7 linked regions of the Kluyveromyces lactis genome follow. The protein of the gene in region 6 purifies or fractionates together with the protein of the main gene of each other region. This does not show direct contact. Links are inferred from orthologs where the notes say so. Each region holds a gene or a part of one and is shown on either strand. Other genes may lie near its edges. The genes, in order: NOP1, RRP5, UTP13, LCP5, CSL4, NOC4 and UTP30.

Region 1 (2,705 bases), on a different chromosome or scaffold from region 6:
ATGGTTGTTATTGATATATATAAGTTATATATAGTATGTGATAATAATAATAATATATCTACAAATTAAATGTACAAAATAAGGTTAAGAGTGTTCGAGTATTAATACCGTTATTGTGAAAATGGGTTCTTTTGTATTGTCAAGTTGATGAACAAGGTTTTGAAATCTTCTTCTATTCTTTTCCCGTCAGTTAGTCGATCTCCTTTGAACAGGCGAAGGACCTGGACTGTAAGTAAAAGAAACACACAGAGTGACAAAATACAAGTGAAGACGAAGTGGAGACTTTTCTAGTTTGTAGAACTTTATCACGAATCAATGAGATGCAAAATTTCAAATAATATTATAGTGTTAATGATTGTATTGGAATGAAGGTTTTTAAAACTAAAAAGTAAGCAAAAAAAGATTAGAAGCCAAAAAAAAAAGATTAATAGAAGGAATCATGAACCAAGTAGGCATACTCTAGCATTGGTTTCAAAATATCAATATTTCTTTAGCAGCTCTTATAATCCACTTCTCATGTATTTACCGATAACGATACAATGGTCTCTTTCATAAGGTTCCAAAGTCAATTGTTCCAAAGGCTTAATCTTTTCTTCTCTCAATTTTTGAACTTCTCTAGCGAACACAGTTTCAGCATCAACAGTAGAATCGATACAGTTAGCCTTGATAGAGATAACGACACCACCTTGATCCTTCAAGAACATATGAGAGTTCAAAGCAATAATACGGGCTTGATCAGGTTGAGCAACATCTGCGAAGACGGCGTCAACCATACCGATAAGCATTCTGTATTTTTGTGGATGTCTAGCATCTTCAATAATTGGGATAACATTTGGTCTCTTCTTAGCCATAGAGATCAATTCTCTACCTGGTCTGTGAGAGAACTCAACAGCGTAAACCAACCCTTCTGGACCAACGACATCGGAAACGTGGGACACAGATGTACCGGAAGCAGCACCTAGATATAGAACCTTCTTACCTGGAGCAATGAATAGTTCATCCAAACCACCCATGATACCGGCAGCCAATTTGGATCTGAAAGGATTCCAAACACGGTATTCCACCTTAGTTGGTGGGACACCTTCTTCAGTGGAAGGTTCTTCAACTGAAACTCTCTTTTCACCGTACACAGATTCACCTGGAGCGATGTTCTTTGTGACCAAAAGATCTTCTTTACCTCTGGCAATAAAAACACCAGCATGCTTATGAGGTTCGATAACAACCTTAGCACCACCACGGGCACCACCACGAGCACCACCACGAGCACCACCACGAGGACCACCTCTGGAACCACCACGGGCACCACCAAATCCACCTCTGGAACCACCGCGAGCGCCACCACGAGGACCACCACGACCACCACCGAATCCACCTCTGGAACCACCACGGGAACCACCGAATCCACCACGGCCACCGCCAAATCCACCTCTGGAACCACCTCTGGAACCACCGCCGAATCCACCACGGGAACCGCCTCTGCCACCTCTAGAACCTGCTTGGAATGCCATTATTATTCTTAACTAGTTGGGAATTATCTGTCTTGAGATATAATGATTATGCTGCTGTTGCTGCTCTTGATCTTCTTCTCTCTAAATTGGACAAAGGAAAAAAAAAGAATTAAAATTGTGAATCAGTAACAGGTATTGTCGTTGACTTTGAAACAGAATCCTGGACGGCTGTAAAACTCTTCTAAAATGGGTAGATTATAGGAACAGAAAACGTACACAATACTATTCTATAAACAATTGATTACTTCTTTCAAGCAAGAACAACTTAATAAACTCTTACTTTACATTCGATGAGATGAGCTTTCGAAACTTTTTTTTTTCAGCTGAAAAATTTTGAATGAAAAAACAATATTAAATTTCTTTTTCAAAGTTCTCATCTTTGGTCTTTCTGTGCCTCTTGGTACGTACAGAACGATGAACGTTAAAGTCACATGACTATTGTCACATCTGTATCACGTGATATGAATTGATTATATAATCATATGAATCTACAACTTTTCAAGATTTTTTTTTGCTATGTTGAGCCAGATACTTGCTACAATGCGTACGTTTACTAAGGATTTCTATACAAGTTTTTCATAGTCAACATTGCGAAAATATGCAGATGAGATCATTTTTGGTTGTTGTTGTGAATATCGGTATCTTTATAAAAGCAGATAAAAAATCAGAGAAGTGGAACCAGCTTTGACTTTTGTACGTTATAGCAATCAGAATCTGAATTAGTATATCTGGATAAATTTTCTGGTTTAGTTTTGAGATCCTATTTTCCAAACTATCGCTGTATATTTTAATCCGACAGTTGAAGATATTACCTAGATAAGTGTCCCTTTATGTCTGCATCCAGTTCAATTTTTATTAAATCACGCTCAAAGAGCTTAAAAGACGTCAAGTTGGAAGTTCCAACAGAAAATACGTTGACATATCAATCTGTTTTGCAACAGATTTCGAAAAGCAATCACAATATTAGCGTTAACAGGTTAAGGTTAAGCTATCTGAAAGAAGGTAAGCAAGTCGCCATTGGGCCCTCTGAATTGAACGATGTTGGTAAGAAAAACACGTTCGATTCAGTTAACGAGTGGTATGTTAAGGATTTGGGTCCGCAGATCTCTTGGAGACTGGTGTTTTTCATCGAATATTTGGGTCCGATCTTGATCCATTCTTTAGTTTACCTTTTGTCTTTAAACGCAACAGTTAGGG
Region 2 (4,093 bases), about 220 kb from region 6:
GTGAATCATTTTTCTTGTACACACTTAATGGTGCCTTTTGTTCTTTGATATCTTCGAAACTGTCGAAAACTTCAGAAATACTGATACGACCATGTACATTATCAGCCAACGTAACGTTAAGCTGGTTCTTCTTAACTGATGTAATTGTAGCCTTTGTAACCTTACCGATAGTGAAGTCCGACAAATCTTTGATAGACTTGTCGACTGGGTTAATTACAGATGAATTGATCTTCTTAACATCGGTCTTTTGTTTTAAAATAGTCAATAAAAATCTTTCATGTTCCTCATCTGTTCTCAATAAATACACGGTCACGGATTGATTGATGTAGTATTTCTTATGAATATCAATATCTCTGGTTTCTGCTGCATAACTTGGTAAAACCAAACCGACAAATTTACCATTGAATGCAACAAAAACACCACGGTCAGAAACAGATTTAACGTAACCATGCATCGGTTCTGTTTTGTCTTTATTTTTGATGTCGGAAAAACTTAAAGGAAGGGTACCGTCTTCAGCATCTTTAATCAATGATTTTTTACAGGACATGTTGAACACATGAGTCCTGATGTCCTTGTCCAAAACCAAACCTCTAACTTCAGAGTTAATCTTTAACTTTTTCTGCGAAGCTCTGTTTTGTTCAATTCTATCATCTGACAAATGGCCGGTGTAAATAACACCGCGCAACCCTGAATCTTTAGATTCTACGATGACGGAATCTTTAGTCTTTTCAATAACAATTGCATCGATGATAGATTTACCGACAACTAAAGATTCAATAGCACTCTTTTGCTTGGAAGAAGACTCTGCTGAAATTTTACAAGAAGCAATAATTCTGTTTCTTTCGAAGTCATGATTCAAAATTTTAACCAAAACACTTTGTCCTAGTCTTAAGTGTTCTTGTGGTTTCTTTACAAATGCTTCTGAAATTTCTTTGTTTGGAACGAAAGCTTTGATATTATTAAAGAACGAGATAACACAACCATTAGGCTTGAATATTTCAACAGTACCAATTGTTTTCAATTCTTGACTTTCAACAGTCTGAATATCATCATTTTTGCAGACTAACGTCACAGATTCTTCGTCTGCATTTACAATAGACTTTTTCAATGTCACAGTGACACGGCCCACAGAATCGACATTGAGAACTCTACCTTTAACCTTTGAACCAATTTTGAATTTTCTTTCAGGATACACAAGTCTGGTATCAGATATGTGTAAGGGAGGAACAAATGCCTTAAATTGATCATTGAAAATTTTTAATTCAATACCTTTTCCTGACACTGTGACAATCTCACAAGCGCTCAAAACTTCGCCTGCTGGAATATCGGACGATCTTAGGTATTTGACATCAAGTAAGGCTGGATCAGACGTCAATGTGTAAAGTTTATCTACATTGTTATAGCCGAGTATTCTTGCTTTCACAGTTCCCGTTGGTTCAGTTTCTCCTGCCTTTGACAAATGAATTTGTCCCACCTGTTCATTGTTGATTGATACGTAGAAAAATTGACTATCCCTGCCTTTAACTGTGCAAGAATCGAAGATATAGCCAACGGGGAAAGATTCTAACGCTTCGGTCTCCTGTAATTTTGGATGCAATGAGATGATATGAGGTTGTGTGGAAACGACAGCAACTTTATCGCCGCTTTTCACTATAGTGGTTGCCAAAATTCTAGCATTGACTAAGTCACCAATGGAGTAGTGATGCTTCAAATCCTCTACCGTAAAGAAATTGGAATGTGGCAATGGCAAAAATGCAGTTATTAGACCGAAGGCTTTACCGATAACACCGTGATTTGTGATAGTTTGAGGTAAAAAGTCAATCGATTGACCCGGCACGATGGCATCTATGGAAGAGATCTTTTCGACCTTGGTGTTTTTACTGGCCAAATCCAAGTTGACATTTACAGTTCTACCAGATCTTTTCGTCACTGTAGCTAAGAACACCATACCTGGTAACAAAGAACTGAATTCAGGTATATCCTTCTTTGAGATAAAACCTGTTAAGTTCTCAATACCGATATCAAGAATGGCACCGTGATCTTCTATACTTTTCAACGAACACTGTAGTGGACAGTTTTTAGCTAAATCATCATCTTCAAACACGTTTACTACAGAGGGTTCGATGGATAAGTCTAACTTTTTGTTCTTGTTTGATTCTAAAGCGCTGTTATTTTGTACCATGCACCTCAACCATTGGCCTATTTTGAAATATTTATTGAGATCAGGTAATTCTTTAGGAGTTGTTATGTCGCTTTCATCATCTGAAGAATCGTATTCTGAGTCCTCATTTTTTTCATCATCGCTTTCCATGGATTCGTCCAAATTTTCCAAAATCTTGGTCATTTGTTCAGAGATATCTGTTAATGAGACGTAACCATGCAAACCGTCCACCAAAGATATTTTCAGTTCATGTTTGCTGATCGATTGGATTTGACCCAAGACAATGGTCCCTTTGGTCATTTGTTTCATTCCAAAATGCTCAATTAAATCAGTCTTGTCCTCTTTTTCTTCATCATCACCTGTGGTAATTTGATCAAAATTATTCTTAGCATTCTTCTTTTTCTTCTTCGTTGGGCCCTCTGCACCAGTAGCTGATTCATCCTTGCCAAATAAAACATCAGCAACCACTTCGTTACCAACCTGCTTAACTTCCAATGGGGATAAAGCAGAAGAACCACCTCTTGGAAATGAGATTTCCTCGGATTTACTCAATGCAGATTTGGCTGGTGCTTCGGTAGCATCCTGTCTTACTAAAGGAGACTCATCGTCTCTCTTTCTTTTACTTTGTGGAGCAACCATGTTTGTGATCTTTTTCGGTATTTAGATATGCCTGTTTTCAAAACAAATTACACCTAGCAATTTAGATGTAAACCTATGTTTTTCTTGAAGTGTCTTGCAAACTATTGAAGCTCCTGTTCCCAAGTTGTTGTTGTTTTTGTCTTCTGTGAAGATAGAAACCAATAAAGCCAATAGAAAGCACAAAGCAAAAAGAATTCAGAGAAAGATACAAAATATGTTATACCAAACTGTTTCCTGTTTGAGAAAGTAAACCAGACTTATCTTTACCAGAATTAAGAAAGTTGCACTTGGTTTCTAGAATCAACAAAGCTCAGAAATGTGTTAGCATACCAATACAAATGATCCAGCACTTAAGTAGCTAAAGCTCATCTCATCTCATCTCATCTCATCGCATCGATTTTTGAAAATTTTCAATATTAAAAAAAAGAAATCAAAACGACATAGACGAAATGTAATCGCGCCTTTGATGCAGTGACAGTTTAATAATGGAACGTTGTACAGATCTTCCGTTGTTATCACTGGAGTTTGTTTGAACCGTATCCACGGATTAGGGTCTTTTGAATGCATGACATACTTCTTAACTATTAAGGGCTTTTGTTAGCCAGTTATTCTATCTTCTTAAAGAGGTATAATAATTACATATCTGTAATGGTGGAAACCATGTAACTAAAAGGTTCTAGGGGAGTGATAAGAGTTTTGTTGGTCATGCTAAGAAAAATTTGTGCAATTACGAGTGGAATGCCTTCTATGGTAATAGTTTCAGATCAGACTATATGTTTTTTCTCTTTTTTGTTCAATTTCATTTCTAAAGGTACTTTCACAGCCGGAAATATTTATTATAAGGCATAAAAGCACCATCATATTACAGTCTAAAGCTGTTTCTGGCTCCTTTCGATCCATTTTCAGGGGCAGTCTATATATCTATCGAACTACGAGAGTTTTATCAACACAGTAAAGTTCCACATTGTAACGTGAGGTATCATTGGCCTGCCTTTTCTCCTATCCTTCCTTATGTATTATGTGTCTTGGTATGAAATTTCATTAAATCAATTATCTTCAATTTATCAACCTACATTCTCATATATATCAGAAACCTTTAAAAAGTAATATGGAGTGGATTCTATCAATAGATAAGGTCGACCAACGCACCTTTGAAGAGGGACTCAATGTCATCATTCGACAGCAGATTTACAGGAATACCCCATAGTGCGAATAAATCAGCAAGACCGTCCTTTTCTTCGACAAGGACGGGATCCAGCGCTAATACAACTACTTCATCAGCAATCTTGGAAC
Region 3 (4,009 bases), on a different chromosome or scaffold from region 6:
GCAAGTTCCCAATTGGTTACGTTGGTAGTGAAAGGACTAGAAGGAAGATCGATAAGATGAAGGAATACCAAAGAAAGAAAGATGAAAAGCGACGGAAGATAAAGAAGAAAAAGAAGCTCTTGAAAATCAGAAGGGAAAGGCAAAGAATTGAAAAGCAAAAATTGCTCACTGCTCCTGAACAAGAAACTGAAACTGAACCCAACGCAGATTCTCACAACAACATTCAAACTCCCTCTAGCGTGAATTTGGCTAGTCCAAGTTCAAGTGTTTTCACCGATGCAGATGCTGGAAACACACCTAATGATTTCAACGGTCTGGTTTTACCAACGAGGAAGAATTCTGTGAAGGGATTAGGAATGGATGAAATTGATCAACTGCTGAAATCTGATGATGATTTAATACTTTCTCATCATGGAGATGAAGATGGAGATATTGATCTATTAGGCAGTGACGATGCAGATCTCCTGGTTTCTCTGACTGCCCCGATTGAAGAAATTGATTTTAACCATGAACAAATGAGCCATGTTGCCGCATGGAGAAGAAGAAACAGTATCGCCGAAGCTGCTGCTGAACATATGAGAGTAACCAAGAATGGACTTTTCAGTGAGACGGCGCTAGCTGATCTGGAGGAAATCATCGGAGGATCAACAGAACTCCCAAGTTAACCCTCATTTTCACTTCCTTTGATTTTATTTTTTATTCCTTGGTTTTACCACTGCTGCTGATGCGAAACTACTCGACTAAAGCATAACCATAAACTACAATTATCTGTATTCTACCTACTACACTTTCTTGGATATAATCTACATAGATATCATTCTGTGAAGCTCTATTCAGCTTCACCATTTTTTCCGTAAGAGGAGTGTTGTACTTCTCTCATAAATCAACAATTAACTTTAAAATCATATCCATTAGAATATTAGCAAATATTTAGCAAATATGTGTAAGTGCAAATAAACATTGTCTAAAGACCGTTCCCGGTTTTCAGCTCCTTTGTATATGTTCAATCTCTTTCTGTTTCAAGCATATGATAACCCATGCCTCATTGTCTACGTTTTTTTCTTTTTTTTGTTCAATTCGAATGTTGAAAAGTTTAATTCATCTCATCTCATCTCATCGCATCACAGAAATATGCTAGGTGAACCAATAAGATTATACCTGGCCAATTATTAGCACCCAGGACAGCACCTTGGATCTCCCACTCGCACAATGGATTTGAGAACTACCTATGCATCCACGAAACTAGAGCCGTTTTATGCTGGTACTGGTGCTATAGCATCTGTTTCTGAAGATGGACGATTATTAGCGACTTCGGTCGTCGATAAAATCAACATTGTTAGCTTAGATAGCCCACGCCGAGTGTTGCATTCTGTTGATACTGAGGATGAACAAGACATCACCGCATTGCATTTAACTCCAGATGGTTCTTATTTGTGTTTTGTCTCACAAGCGCAGTTGCTCAGAGTGTATTCTTTGAAACAAGAAAGAATTATCAGATCAATGAAGATTTCGTCACCGGTGTACGTCATGAATTGCGATCAAACATCTACACTTTTGGCTATAGGTGGTACTGATGGTAGTGTTAGTGTTATTGATATTGAAAATGGATATGTCACGCACTCTTTGAAAGGACATGGTGCTACCATTTCAAGTGTAAAGTTTCACGGTGAGTTGAACAGTGAAATTTGGAAGCTTGCATCTGGTGATACCAACGGTATGATTAAAGTCTGGGATTTAGTTAAACGTAATTGTCAATGCACTATTCAGGAACATACTACAGCTGTTAGAGGGCTAGATTTCCGTGTCACTGATGAAGAAAAGGGAACGCTGCAGTTATTATCTGGTGGTAGAGACAATATCTTAAATCTCTTCGAGTTTAATTCGACGAAAAAGTATAAGCTACTGAAGACCATCCCTGTCATAGAACAGGTGGAATCGTGTGGATTTACGCAGGACCCGGATGTGGTTTACTCAGCCGGTGGTGGTGCCATTTACCAATTAGTGTCCTTGTCAACAGGAAGAGTATTAAAGAAAACAGCAAAACCTATTGAAGAGCTATTTATTATTGGTACACTATGTATCCTGAACGGAACTAAGCAGTACTTGGTATTTTCAGATCAAACTTTGTTCCTAATAGATGTTGAATCAGCTTTACAATCGGAATCTGAAGTAATTGAAGTGGAAAATAAGATTGCAGGTAATCATGGTACCATTGCAGATATAAGATTCGTTGGTCCAAAACGGGATAAATTAGCATTAGCTACTAACTCTCCTACTCTTAGAATAATTCCAACCCCAACTTCTTCGGAGGAAGAGTTCGAAAATGGGGAGAACAAAGAAACATTTCCTATTGAAGTAAAGATGTACGAGGGTCATACGGATCTACTCAACTCTTTGGATGCCACCGCTGATGGTCTCTGGGTTGCTACAGCATCCAAGGATCACAGCGTTATATTATGGAGATATCATGCAAAGTACGAAGACTTTTATCCATACACTAAATTTGTCGGTCATGTAGGTTCTGTGAATGCTGTTGGACTTCCTAATGTTATGCCACGTTCATGGCCTGAATTCATAATTACAGCTTCTAACGATTTGACCATAAAGAAATGGAAGGTTCCTAAGGTGACATCTGATGAACCCGAAGATCTAATACTTGTTAAGACCTCAGAATATACCAGAAGGGCGCATGAAAAGGATATCAATGCTATCTCCATTTCACCTAATGATTCTCTATTTGCCACGGCTTCATACGATAAGACATGTAAAATATGGAATTTGGATGATGGTGAATTCCAAGCCACATTAGCAAACCACAAACGTGGTCTATGGGACGTTGCATTCTGTCAATATGACAAGTTATTGGCCACATGTTCCGGTGACAAGACCATCAAAATTTGGTCCTTAGAATCATATGCCGTCGTAAAAACTTTGGAAGGACATACCAATGCAGTTCAAAGATGTTCCTTCATAAACAAGAACAAGCAACTGATAAGTACTGGTGCTGATGGTTTAGTTATTATTTGGGATCTATCAACTGGTGAATCGGTCAAGACACTAGATGCTCACAATAACCGTATCTGGGCTCTTGCTGTTATGAACGATGGTGAATCCTTCGTTACAGCAGATGCTGACGGCTTCTTTGAGTTCTGGAGGGATAACAGTGAAGAGGAACACGAACGTAACCTCGAGCAAGAGAAACTGAAGATTGAACAAGAACAATCATTACAAAATTATCTCTCAGAAGGTGACTGGACTAACGCATTTTTGCTTGCCATGACCTTGGATCACCCAATGAGATTGTACAACGTCTTAAGACAAAGTGTAGACAACTCAAATGAGGATCCAAATGTAGTTTTCAACAACGAAATTGACGAGGTTGTGTCGACTCTAGATAAAGATCAACTTCTTCTTTTAGTGAAAAGGTGCAGAGATTGGAATACAAATGCAAGAACACACACAGTAGCCCAAAAGATGATAAGGTGTATTCTTCTAAGACAAAATATTGAAGAGTTGAGCGAAATTCCTGGGCTTGTAAGGATCGTTGAATCAATAATCTCATACGCAGAGAGACATTACTCAAGAATGGATAACTTGGTTCAAGAAAGTTATATCTTAGATTACGCTTTAGTTCAAATGGACAAATTGCTATAAAGAATGTAAATATAGCACTAGTCGTCATGTAGATATATACATATAACAGTACAACACACCCACCGCATCAACTCTGAATAGATACCATATCCAGTCAAGGGCCATCCATCAGTAGAATAATAAGTTTGTTACCCGGCTTTGAGTTTTAGACAGAATTTGTTTCCCTGCAAAAGAAACTTCATCAAATAACTAGACGATGTGAAGCGATGAGATGAGATGAGATGAGATCGGCTCTCATCCTTCTTCTGTTAAAAGGTGACTTCAACTGTGAATTTTTGACAGTTATACTTTAAAGTTAACTCTCCTCCATATTAACGAGAAGCTCTATCGGAAACTATCATGTCAGAGGGACATA
Region 4 (2,911 bases), on a different chromosome or scaffold from region 6:
GCATGAAATTGTCAGTCTCATTGGCTATAATTCAGTATTTAACGCTAAATATATGATTAAATAATGATGATTTAGCCAGTACTTTCTAATAAGGGAACTCAGTTCTAAAATGAAATAGTAATATACAATAACGTAGCGGAGTGGGGGGTGATGCAATAGGGAATAATTGAGATGAGTAGGAATTTTGGTAGTAATAGGTTGTACTTGTTCTTACACAAGTAGCACAGCGTTGACACAACCGTCTCTATCTGGCTCATTCGTGATTTGAGCATATTTACCCCAAACCACTTTACCACCAGAAGTAACCATACCTAATTCCGAGACGTTCACTTCAATAATAGTACCCTTGGTTAATACACCCAACTGTGTGTACATTGGCGATTGAGGATTCTTCTTCACCGCAAGAATTGGCAAGAAAACGGTGACTCCAAGTTCCGGATGCGTCACATTAGCCTTCTTTTGTCTCAAAGCACTAGGTCTGATAATCCTTTCCATCTTCACAGGCCTTCTTGTAAACCCTTCACCAACAAACGTATGTTTCGTGATCATTCTCTTCCATGCCTTAGACTTAGACTTACCTGTCTTAACAACTTTGAACATCTCTTCCTCACTGATACCTCTGACCTTAGGCAAAGGAACAGAAAACTTGTCAGCCTTCTCCAAACGCTTCTGCTTGATGGAACTGGATATAGCCTTTGCAGTGTTGTTCTGTTCTCTGTCTAACAAATAAGTAGGCAAAGCCTCCCCGTTCTCATCCAACGGTTTGGACCCTCCTTTAACTTTACTCTGCTCATGAGCACGGATCTTCTTCTTCATAGCAACCTTCTCAGCATAACGCTTCTTAGCAAATTGCTTACCCTTCCAACCAGTCAATTTCTGAGCCTTTTCAGAGATCTTATGAGCCTCACGGGCTTCTCTCTTACGTTTTCTCTCATCGTGGTCTAATCTACGACCATGTTGCTTGATGTGCTGTTCGATATATTCGTTTTGAGGCATCTTTGTTTTATTGTAAGAACGACTTGTTCGGTGATGACTTACTTCTAAATCACAAACGGACACACGGACTCCTTGAATGGACTTCTTACCACATGTTAACCCATGCGATGAGCTAGTTGTTCAAGTTGTCTTTGTATGCTTTTCTCATTGAAAGAAAAAAATTCAATAGGAAATGTCGAAAAGAAACGTAGTGAAAAAAAAAATTTGGAATCAAGCGATGAGATGAGATGAGATGGGTATCAGCCAGATACAAGTTTGGTTGTCTGGTGTGGGTTTGGCATAGGTTCGATCTACTGTTATTGATGTATAAAACCTCATTACATTCTATTGACAAGGGTTACAGCGGAAATATAGCCATGTCTGAGGAGTTAGGAACTGTTTTGAAAACGATTAGAGATTCTTTGAAATCTTGTGGAGAAAGCTTGGATAAGTTAGAAGAAGTCTATGATGATGAGGAGACCCATCCTTTCCAAGGTTCAGCGGTGGTAGGTCACAAAGGTGATAAATTAGAAAAAGTTTCTCTACTTTCTTTGAAGAATGGGAGTATGCTATCGTATTTGAATTCGCTTCTGTTGGTATTGGGACAGAAATTGAATAAAGAGATGGTTGTTGATGAGGGTAGAGTCAGGGCAGTGGAACAACGAGTTGTTCTTGAAAGAGGTGTGAAGCCCTTGGAGAAGAAGTTAGGGTACCAGCTGGATAAATTGACGCGGGCGTACATTAGACTGGAGAAAGACGTTGAAGAATCCAAGAAAAGAGCCGAATTGCAGGGACTGAGTGACGTACGTGCTTCCCAGGAAGAAGTATCAGACTCAGATTCTGATAGTGAAGAAGAGATGCAATATAGGCCGAACAGTTCAGGAATGGTCAATAACACATCAGTTGGAGGGAAAGCCAAGGGGAAAATCGCTGTCAAGAGTACTCACAATGAAGAAGATGTGGATGATAAAGATAACGTTTATAGACCACCTAAGATCAGTGCCGTTCTGCCACCAAAGCAACATCACTTCGAGGATAAATTCAACGCACAAGAACATAAGGATAAGAGTAGCAGGTCTCGTATGCAAGCTATGGAAGAATACTTGAAGGATTCCTCGGAACAACCGGAATGGGAAACTTCTATCGGTGCCAATATCGTCAACCATGGTAGAGGTGGTGTGAAGACAGCAAGAGATACAGAACGTGAACGTGATGTTCAAAGATTCGAAGAAGAAAATTTCACTAGATTGAACCCCAACGGATCCAAGACTGACAAGAGAATGAAAAAACAAAGAGAAATCATGGCCAAGGTTAATATGATCGCCGGTGAAGATTTCAGTATCTTCAACTCCAAGCGTAAGTTGGAGGATAGTACAAGCAGAAGAGGTAATAAGAAATCTAGAAATGCTTGGGAAAGAGCCAAGAAGAAGTTGTAAACCTGAGGTCCTTCTTTTTCTATGTATAAATAGGCTAAAATATCCATACGTCTCTATTGTCATCATATAGTGTCAAATACGTAGTTTATAAATCGAATGATAACGGTGTTGCACTGCTCAAACTCTAGCTTTGATGTGGTTTGTTTCGTTTCGTTTTGTCTCGTTTTCTTCATATCAAGGTGTAATCACCAATAATTAATTAATACAATCTAAGCGTTCCAACTTTGCAAGATATAATCACCACCTATCACCCCTACTAATCTCCTACCAGCGTACAACTTCCAGCGCCCCTGATGAAGAACGAATACACCAGAAAGAAAGTCTCAGCAAAGGATAGGAAAGCATGTCTGATATGTGGTAACCCTACAGTCACAGTTTTGTTCAATGGAAGCGGACCTGATTGGTTTTATACATGCGATATACATCTAGTTGATAACCCGCAGTTTGTACAGCCTCTATACCCAAAAGAGTATCACGAGTCTCTGGTTAGTCTTAAGCCA
Region 5 (2,789 bases), on a different chromosome or scaffold from region 6:
TGGCTTGCGTGGACCTTTTTGAAGCTCATCCATCCTTTTATTGATCCGTTGACTCGTGAAAAATTGGTTTTTGATGAACCATTTCCAAATTATGTGCCACCTGATCAACTCGAGACGCTTTATGGTGGTAACCTCGACTTCAAATATAATCATGAAGCCTATTGGCCTGTCCTAACTCAAATTGCAGAGAAGAAGAGAAAGCATTATCTACAAAGATTTGAGAAGTTCGGAAAAAAAGTTGGACTGAGTGAATATGATTTAAGAGGTGACCACGATGAGTTGAAATTCCCAATCAACTAAAAGTCCAACTAACTTTTCTGATAATAACATATGATATTCAGGCGTTGAATTCACAATGATCTTAGTAGAAACTTCCTCAATATTCCCAATATGCGTGAAGCCTAATACGAAACTAATGTAAATGTAAATGAAAGTTGTAAATGTATGTATGTGAAGGTACCTATAGACTTGAACAAAAAGCTTGTTGTGTTCCGACTATATTAGAAGGGCTTTGCACATTTTCGTTTCTCAGCGACTCCGGTCTTTGGTGAAATCATTGTCTGCCAATCAATTGCATACATCTGTTCTCCAGCTCCGTTAGAAGACTTAGCGAACACCACGCCCAAGTCATTCCTTGCTGTAGTTAAATAGTAATGGGTACCATCGCCAAGTGAGAGCACTTGAGCACGTATTATATCCCCAGGTTTAAAACTTTCCATAACTTTTACTCTATCTCTATCAGTGGCCCTTACATCTTGGGATCTAATTATGCCCCTAAAAGTTTCTCCCAAATCCGCGGACACTTGCGAAACGGAAAACGTAGACGCACCAGATCCACCAGCAGCAGCAATTATGCCAGTCCCATTGCTTCCGACACCAGAGTCGATCGGCAAGGGCGAATTCTCAACTGCTAAAATCTCAACTGTTATTCTTTGCAAACTGATTCTGGTCACCCTCGCCAGTACGATATCGCCCTCTTGCGGAAGGTTATTGACAAACTGGTCATCAACATACTTGCTAGCAAACTTGCTAGGATTTGATACTGATACTTTGAAACTTTTTATAACTCTACTATTGCCAGAGCTTGCATCCCCTCCGGTGGTCTCATGAGATTCTACAAACGTCGTATTCTCTGAGTCTTCTTGATCGTCGTCTTCGATAATATCTGCTGGAACTTCTTCCACAGATACAGAACCTTTTAATGTGGCTACGATAATATCAACGTTCTTGCCGTTAACTCTAAAATTCTCCTGTTTACAGCCAGTGCCCGTTAGGAAGCGTATTACCACTTCTTGCTTGTTATCATCATCAACATCAAATATTGGACATATAAGATCACCGGGTATAACAGTCTGGGGGAAATTTTTAAAAGGCTTCATTTTATAACGATGCATATAGACAAACCTTACTGTTATCAAACACTCTTATTATCTTACAGGCCATATTTAAGCTAGTTTGGTATTACTGTTAGCTCATCGCATAAAGCAGCTCTTTTTTTATCATTTTCATAATGAGTGAAACAATTTTCAAAATTTGGGAGATGTTGAAGACAAGTTAGAATTATTTTCAAATAGTAGGGTAATATTACCAAAGCTTTCAAAGCGGGCTCAACACGAAAGCTACGTGCACGATTTGAATCCATATAAAGGGAAACATAGAAACGCATGGTAAATGATTTAACTACTATGATTACATGTATTTATAGGTCTACTAAAAGAAGTGAGTGTTGCACATAGAATCTTCGTGAATGTCCATTTCTGCTTTAAGCTCATTCAGCTCGTCCTTTATCATTTGGGCCAATTGAGGAGTAAGTTGATTGCATGTTGCCGAATCAGGATGCCTATCATACTCAAGTTCACCATAGGTCTCATAAAGGACTATTTGAGAGGAAAACTTAACAAGTTTTGCTGCATAGCTAGATCTTTCTTCCGATTTCTTCGACATCTGATCTGAGATATGTTCAAGTCCCGTAAGCCCTGAAAGTTCCATGGTACTGTTGAATTGTGGCGCTTTCAAACCCCTAAAAGACATCGATATAGGCCTGCTCATCGATGTTGTGATATCTGGTAAAAATGCGTTGATCTTTGGGGATTCTTTTACTGCATGTATGCCATTAAAATCTTCGTTCTCAAAATCTTCCTCATCATAATTATCAAAATATAAACTGCTATCAGAAAAAGTGTTTTGGTTGCTACTGCTAACATTTTCTGGTGATGTGTCTCTTGTTTTTATAGTACTTGATATGTGTTTCTGATCATCCAAACCAGTCTGTTTTTGGTTGAGTACTGAACTGTTTGTCTTAATTTCTGGGGAGTTAGTAAGTTCCACAAGAAATGAGTTTTCTGTCTCAGTATTGAAGCTGGGCTTGGATAGAGAGTTTTTCACAGATTCTTTGACCGGATTTAGAGTTTCATAGTGTGAACGATTGTCAGAATAGAGATCAAAATTTAACTCGATATCTTGTCCAAAGTCTATTATACTTGCAAATTCCATGATATCTGAGATTAATTCGTTGTCTTCATTATCTGAATCTTCAAGACTAGATTTAGTTGCCTTATTCTGCACCAATGGTTTTTCTAGTTGATCTTCTTGATCAGATTCCATTGTCAGCTCGTTTAACTTTTGCTCTATGGAACCAAAAGAAAAATCTCTCTGTTGTGGTGAAATTGTGAAACTTGCACTTCGAGTACCATGACTATTGTCCAAATCAGAACTGGCGGATATTTTTTCATCAGACGTAGTTTCAAACTTTCCGCTGCGCAGAATACTGCTCACCGGAGATTTCGTTA
Region 6 (3,520 bases):
AGAGTCCAATCCGACAATAGCCAATCTTTCGTGAACTAGAATAGTAGAGTTCTTAACAATGTTACCTGACCAATCTGGACCACGGTGTCTGATTCTCTTGGATAATTGTAAAGCTTTTGGTTTGTAAGCCTGAACATCAGGGTTTCTGAATGAAGCAAATATACCACACATCTTGGGTCCTGTTACTTCGTTATTCTGTATATCTAATTGATAAGAGCGAGTAAAAAACCAATACTAATACAAAACAAAGATCCTAACATAAACATATAAACAATTCTTATTACAAGCGAGCATTAGTTTTCTTGTGATGAGCATCAATTCTTTATACTTTTTCCAAAATTTTTCACCAGAGCTTGAATCGCCGTATTCTTTTTTCTTTCGAGATATTGAAAATGACTCAGTATCAATTGCATATCAAAAGAATATGACAAAGCAGCAGAGAAACGAAAAGTAACGAAGTGAAAATGAAAATTGGTGCCAGATTCTAACTCTGATTCATAGTTGATTCATTTGTTCCCGCTCCGACTTGTCATATTCACGATACCATCGTATCACGGCATTTTTTTCTATCTAATATTTACGTTTACGTTTACAGTTAGTTTAGTTTTTGAAATGAATCGCACAAGGCGATTCATATTAGCAAGAAGCAAGACTCAAACACACAAACTCACATCAAGTCTATACATGGGATGACCTTCCCAAAAAGAATCAGAATTTTATAAAAAGTGTCCCAAATCATTCAAAGAATGTAACAAGATTATAAGGCTTGCGAGGGCACCACATTCTCCATTAAAACCATGAACAGAAAATAATTCCCATCCACGAAAGAATTGTAAGAATTAAAAAAGCGCAAATAGTATCATCGTCTTCTTTTAAAACTTGGAAGGTCATGTGGATTTAAGCCCAAAAAGAGTAATACAAGTAAAGCCTATCAAAGTTACATCTCTTCTACATCACCAATTGTGTCTTGTAATTTCTTGGTTCATAAATCTTTCTCTTATATATGATGAAATTCGGGCTAGATCATTTTATACTAATCGTTGAAATTTGTATGCTGTTAGGGCTCATAGGCTGCCGTGAACTGGAGGATACGCACCCCCTGAAGGAACGAGCATCAGTGTGCGTATTCAAGGTGATGCAGGCAAGACTTGACTGACAACAGAATGGTTTACCACTCTAAATTATATATTTAATGTCGCCATTGATAGCTAGTTTATTAGGAAATGCGATCACGTGATAAGAATAATTTCTTTTCAATTGTCTTCTACATTGCAAGAATCTCTGAAAAATTTGGAATCAAGAGATGAGATGAGATGAGATGAGATGAGATGAAGTCGAATAGGAAACGTTAAGGTAGGATATTCTCACCGTTATAATCTGTTTGATTACTCGCAATAAATAATTGGAATTCACATATAAAAGTTTCCCAAGGATTCAGACAGCGATTAACCAAGATGCTCTCGAAGGAAGAGATTAAGCAAGTTTGGAAGTCTATTAGCACCGGCAATGATAGAAAACATTACAACTCGTTGGTGAACCTAATCCATGGGTACAATGAACTTCTAAAGGAAAACGAATTGTTGCACAATTTGGAAGATGATTACCGTTATATGACCATTGCTTTGAGTCAGATTTTCATCAAACTTTTTGAGCGTGGTCAATTGATGCCTCATCTTGCATCCAATGCCAATGAAAAGAAATTCTTTGAATGGTGTAAGAAACTATATTTAAATTATAAGGTTAAGTTATTGGCTATCATTACATCTTTGCATGAAGTTAACTCGTTGAGTTTAGATTGTTTGGACTCATATATGAAAATGCTTCACCATGAATCGATATATTGGGCTTCGAAACCAAATAGTCCTTTCTTTCCAAATAAGACTTTAAGATCGTTACTAGTGGCTCTTTTCCATTGTAACTTTGAAGGTGATATCGGTTTCAAAGATGGTCAGAGCGAGAATCCCGTGTTTAATCTATTTGTGGAAGCCTATTATAAGAAGAATTTCGATATTCAATTCTACACACAATCAGAACTGATATCGTTGTTACCAGAACTTGATGGCCAAACATCTGACGAAATTTTGATGTCTAAATGGTTGGCTTTATGCAACAACGATGTTCAGGGATCACCAGACTTGGAAATATTCGTATCTGTGCCCCCACAAGCCATCGAGAATGATGCTAAGTTTAAATCCAACCTCGAAACAAATTGGTTGCACTGTCTAAATTTAGCCAACTTATCCAGTAGCCAATATAAAACTGTGCTTTTAGTGCTACACAAGAGAATTATAGTATGGTTCCATCAACCAACAAAGCTTATGGATTTCCTTACCGACTCTTACAACCAAGGTGGTATCGTTTCAATCCTTTCATTAAATGGTTTGTTTGAACTTATGAAAAAATACAACCTAGAATATCCAAATTTCTACTCAAAACTATATCAGCTTCTAACTCCAGAAGTAATGCACGTTAAGTACAGATCAAGATTTTTCAGATTAGTGGACACCTTTCTATCTTCTACACATTTATCCGCACAACTGGTAGCGTCATTCATCAAACGTTTGGCACGTTTATCCGTATCGGCACCACCAGGTGCTATTGTTTCTATAATACCATTCGTGTACAATCTAATCAGAAAGCATCCTACATGTATGATTCTATTACACGATCCAGAATACATCGACTGCGATTCAAAGAAAAGGCAAGAATATCTAGATCCATTCAACAATGAAGAAACCAATCCAGAACTTACAAATGCTCTTTCCTCCTCAGTATGGGAGCTAGAAACGCTAATGAATCACTACCATCCAAACGTAGCCACTTTAGCGAAGATTTTCCAACAACCTTTCCAAAAGTTAAGCTACAACATCGAAGATTTCTTAGATTGGTCTTACGATTCACTTTTGCAAGCAGAAACCAATAGAAAGCTGAAGATCCAACCTGCTCTTGAATTCGAAAGGTTTGAAACAATTTTCGAATCAGGTTCTGATTCAGCATTCCTACCCTTCATAAAATGGTAAATACATAATTTCAAGTAGAAAACTTAAGTAGTTCAATTCCAAATTGAGTACTTTCTTTCACTTTCGCAAATCTCTTCACATTACATCTCATCACATCGCCGTAATATTGAAACATCGAGATGAAAAAAATCAACAAGTCAACATCAAGAAGAGAAAGACTCACATCAGAAAAAACTTTAAAATGGGCTCCGTTTATCGGTCTTGAGGACTTAAAGGCACATACCATACCAGTTGGCTGCTTTTTTACCACTACTATTGAATAAATGACTGAGGAAGTGAAAGCCTGTAATCCAGAGAAAGCCTTAGAGCTGAAGAATGAAGGTAACAAGTTCGTGAAGGAGAAACTGTACGCAAAGGCAGCTGAGTATTATACAAAAGCCATCGAGCATGATCCCGAGAATACGATCCTATATTCAAACCGTGCGTTCACCAACCTAAAGTTGGATAACTTCCAAAGTTCTTTAGACGATGCTAAACGTGCAATTGAATTGGATAATAAC
Region 7 (2,621 bases), on a different chromosome or scaffold from region 6:
ATTCACCAAAACTCTTATTGAACCGCCTTATGTTGTCATATTTGTGTAGGACATCTTCGGATCTAGGGAAAAAGCCTTGTTCTATTCTTTGATGCAGATATACTTCCTTAATGACAGCAAAACCCACACGGATAAGGTATAAAGTCAATGACAGTGATACAATAGCAGCGTAGGCACCAAGGTACACTCTCCGAAGGGCGAACATCGAATACCCAGCTAGGGAACTGCCATCGCTATAGATCATCTTATATATGCATGAAGTTTGCATACAGTGCCTATTTTAAGAATTCCATACATTTTTTTCATCAAAAATCTGTCAAAGTTCAAGATATACTGCTCAAGCCTCTTGAAGGAAAGGGCAGAAATTTAGCTGTTTCACATAGTACGGAAGGATTCACCAGTAATTACAACTATGTAATGATATGCTTATTTTTGAGAGGGTTCTATAATAGTATTTTTATTCTTAAATTAAAGTACATGTAAGACCAATTGGAGTTGTTTCATAGCCTAATTTCTTCATCGTCATCGATTGATTCTTGTTCTAGTTTCTTCCATATTGGTAAGCTCAGACTGTTGCTAGTCTTGACAAATATAGAGGAGATTTTCCCATCTTTGATGCACCCACCTTGTGGCTTTTTTGATCTGTCACACAGAAAGTCTATCACATCTTCTGCATTCGCCATTAATTCCGCCTCAGCATGTACGCCGATTTCCCCAATTTTAATGCTTAAACAGTTGTCTTTGTTTGGTAGAAACCAGGTATTCTTACATATGGACTTTACTTGTGCTTTCACGTATTTTGGGTCACAATCTTCCTTCATTTTGGAACCTTTCTCTTTAATTTGTTTTGACATTCTTACAACAAACGGCAGCTTTCTATTCGAACGGTAGAAAGTTGAGCCCAGGACACTTGGTAATAAATGGTGAACTCTGTAATCCGCTACTATCATGTCAAATTCATTATATAACTCTTTCAGTTTTTTACCTCTGAACCGTTGCTTCAGTTTCTTGACGCTGATAATTTCTTTGAATAATTCTGCCGTAGCCTTTTCCTTCGTCAACGAATCTCGATATAGCGTACTTGGGTCCTTACAGATCAGTAGAATTCGCACATCATTTGCAGATTTCATCTGGCTGTGTTTCAAAGGAATGATGCGGGGGACGTGGTCGTTTCTTATTCCAACAGGTTGTTGTGTATTGATGATCAAATGGATGCTGGTATCGTTAGCTAACTTGGGATCCACTTCACATTGTTTCGTCAAAGCTCGTAGAGCCTTGGTTGTAGCACCATCAGTATCTAATTCGATTGGCATAGCCCAATGTTCGCTGGTTTATCGAGAGTAGCAACAAACCTTTCTTTATTCTTTACATCCATGAGATGAGATGAGATGAGATGTCTCCATTTAGTAAAATTTTTGTAGTGAAATCAATTTCATAAAGAGTTATAAATGATAAATATCAAAAACGGACGTGAAAGCCACTCCGATGGTGCATAAATAAGACGCAACTTCAACGAAACCCTTCATGGTAAGCTGTAGCTTTGTATGTTCAGTAAAGATATACAGAAGATGTATTCGTTTGTTTCTTTCTAGAAGATATGATTTACATAGAGAGATAAAGGTTAAAAGTAAGTAAGATTAGAGTTTGAATAGAGAGATAGTTAAAGAAAATAACAGTAGCGGACAAAGCCAAACTTAACTTTTTTTCCTCCTAATAAATGTTTGGATCTGATGTTGATTATTCCTATTTTTTTTTTTATTTATTAAGTTTAATCGAACAATTCGCTGATGCTTGATGGCAATTCTTCAATTTGAGTAGAGTAGAATCTTTCCAATTCTCTCATAGCACCGATATCCTTATTGGTGACGAAGTTGATAGCAATACCCTTTCTACCGAAACGACCACCTCTACCGATTCTGTGGATATAGTTTTCCTTGTTGGATGGCAAGTCGTAGTTGATAACCAAAGAGACTTGTTGGACATCGATACCTCTAGCCAACAAATCAGTGGAGATCAAAATTCTTGAAGAACCACTTCTGAATTCCTTCATGATGGTGTCTCTTTCCTGTTGTTGCAAATCAGAGTAGATAGCAGAGACGGTGAAGTTGTTTTCTCTCAATCTTTCGGTCAATTCTTCGACCTTTCTTCTGGTGTTACAGAAAATAACAGCTTGGGTAACGGAGATAGAATCGTACAAATCGGTCAAACAGTCGTACTTGTATTGTTCTTCTTCAACGTTAACGTAGTATTGACCAATACCTTCCAAGGTCAATTCATCCTTCTTAACCAAGATTCTGACTGGGTCCTTCATGAACTTGGAAGTGACTTCCAAGACATCACCTGGCATGGTAGCAGACAACAAGACAACTTGGGAAGTTGGTGGCAACATGGTGAAAATGTTGTAGATTTGTTCCTTGAAACCAGTAGACAACATTTCATCGGCTTCATCCAAGATGAACATCTTGATGTTGTCAGTCTTGAAGATTCTACGGTCGATCATATCGAAAACACGACCTGGAGTACCAACAATGATTTGAGCACCACCTCTCAAAGCTTCGGAATCTTCTTGCAAAGAAGTACCACCGATACAAGCATGGACCTTAACGTCCATGTGGATAGCC

The links.
Region 1: the proteins of NOC4 (region 6) and NOP1 purify together in Saccharomyces cerevisiae (affinity purification with mass spectrometry; 6 studies listed by BioGRID, with this or other methods). This does not show direct contact. The link is inferred for Kluyveromyces lactis from reciprocal best matches to the Saccharomyces cerevisiae genes NOC4 and NOP1.
Region 2: the proteins of NOC4 (region 6) and RRP5 purify together in Saccharomyces cerevisiae (affinity purification with mass spectrometry; 9 studies listed by BioGRID, with this or other methods). This does not show direct contact. The link is inferred for Kluyveromyces lactis from reciprocal best matches to the Saccharomyces cerevisiae genes NOC4 and RRP5.
Region 3: the proteins of NOC4 (region 6) and UTP13 purify together in Saccharomyces cerevisiae (affinity purification with mass spectrometry; 7 studies listed by BioGRID, with this or other methods). This does not show direct contact. The link is inferred for Kluyveromyces lactis from reciprocal best matches to the Saccharomyces cerevisiae genes NOC4 and UTP13.
Region 4: the proteins of NOC4 (region 6) and LCP5 purify together in Saccharomyces cerevisiae (affinity purification with mass spectrometry, with the first as the bait; 4 studies listed by BioGRID). This does not show direct contact. The link is inferred for Kluyveromyces lactis from reciprocal best matches to the Saccharomyces cerevisiae genes NOC4 and LCP5.
Region 5: the proteins of NOC4 (region 6) and CSL4 purify together in Saccharomyces cerevisiae (affinity purification with mass spectrometry; 3 studies listed by BioGRID). This does not show direct contact. The link is inferred for Kluyveromyces lactis from reciprocal best matches to the Saccharomyces cerevisiae genes NOC4 and CSL4.
Region 7: the proteins of NOC4 (region 6) and UTP30 purify together in Saccharomyces cerevisiae (affinity purification with mass spectrometry; 5 studies listed by BioGRID). This does not show direct contact. The link is inferred for Kluyveromyces lactis from reciprocal best matches to the Saccharomyces cerevisiae genes NOC4 and UTP30.

The regions. Positions count from the first base shown.
Region 1 is NC_006039.1:400,224-402,928, reverse strand, and holds NOP1 (rRNA methyltransferase NOP1), read right to left. Parts: upstream 1,509-2,705; coding exon 501-1,508; downstream 1-500. Other genes in the region: trans-2-enoyl-CoA reductase (NADPH) TSC13, read left to right, coding at 2,339-2,705.
Region 2 is NC_006038.1:728,557-732,649, reverse strand, and holds the start of RRP5 (Rrp5p), read right to left. Parts: upstream 2,801-4,093; coding exon 1-2,800. Other genes in the region: YPK9 (putative acid anhydride hydrolase), read left to right, coding at 3,967-4,093.
Region 3 is NC_006042.1:1,222,969-1,226,977, forward strand, and holds UTP13 (U3 snoRNA-associated protein UTP13), read left to right. Parts: upstream 1-1,209; coding exon 1,210-3,654; downstream 3,655-4,009. Other genes in the region: KLLA0_F13222g (uncharacterized protein), read left to right, coding at 1-665; RSA3 (Rsa3p), read left to right, coding at 3,994-4,009. UniProt on the Saccharomyces cerevisiae protein: Involved in nucleolar processing of pre-18S ribosomal RNA.
Region 4 is NC_006041.1:1,205,624-1,208,534, forward strand, and holds LCP5 (small subunit rRNA maturation protein LCP5), read left to right. Parts: upstream 1-1,223; coding exon 1,224-2,411; downstream 2,412-2,911. Other genes in the region: rRNA-processing protein NSA2, read right to left, coding at 211-996; VFA1 (Vfa1p), read left to right, coding at 2,705-2,911. UniProt on the Saccharomyces cerevisiae protein: Component of the U3 small nucleolar ribonucleoprotein. Required for the early cleavages at sites A0, A1 and A2 of the pre-ribosomal RNA. Participates in ribosome biogenesis.
Region 5 is NC_006040.1:1,659,619-1,662,407, forward strand, and holds CSL4 (exosome non-catalytic core subunit CSL4), read right to left. Parts: upstream 1,395-2,789; coding exon 501-1,394; downstream 1-500. Other genes in the region: BNI4 (Bni4p), read right to left, coding at 1,711-2,789.
Region 6 is NC_006038.1:952,665-956,184, forward strand, and holds NOC4 (ribosome biosynthesis protein NOC4), read left to right. Parts: upstream 1-1,454; coding exon 1,455-3,020; downstream 3,021-3,520. Other genes in the region: ASN1 (asparagine synthase (glutamine-hydrolyzing) 1), read right to left, coding at 1-171; PPT1 (protein serine/threonine phosphatase), read left to right, coding at 3,284-3,520. UniProt on the Saccharomyces cerevisiae protein: Involved in nucleolar processing of pre-18S ribosomal RNA and ribosome assembly. Has a role in the nuclear export of 40S pre-ribosomal subunit to the cytoplasm.
Region 7 is NC_006037.1:536,581-539,201, reverse strand, and holds UTP30 (Utp30p), read right to left. Parts: upstream 1,314-2,621; coding exon 501-1,313; downstream 1-500. Other genes in the region: KLLA0_A05775g (glycosyltransferase family 15 protein), read right to left, coding at 1-268; KLLA0_A05731g (uncharacterized protein), read right to left, coding at 1,769-2,621. UniProt on the Saccharomyces cerevisiae protein: Involved in rRNA-processing and ribosome biosynthesis.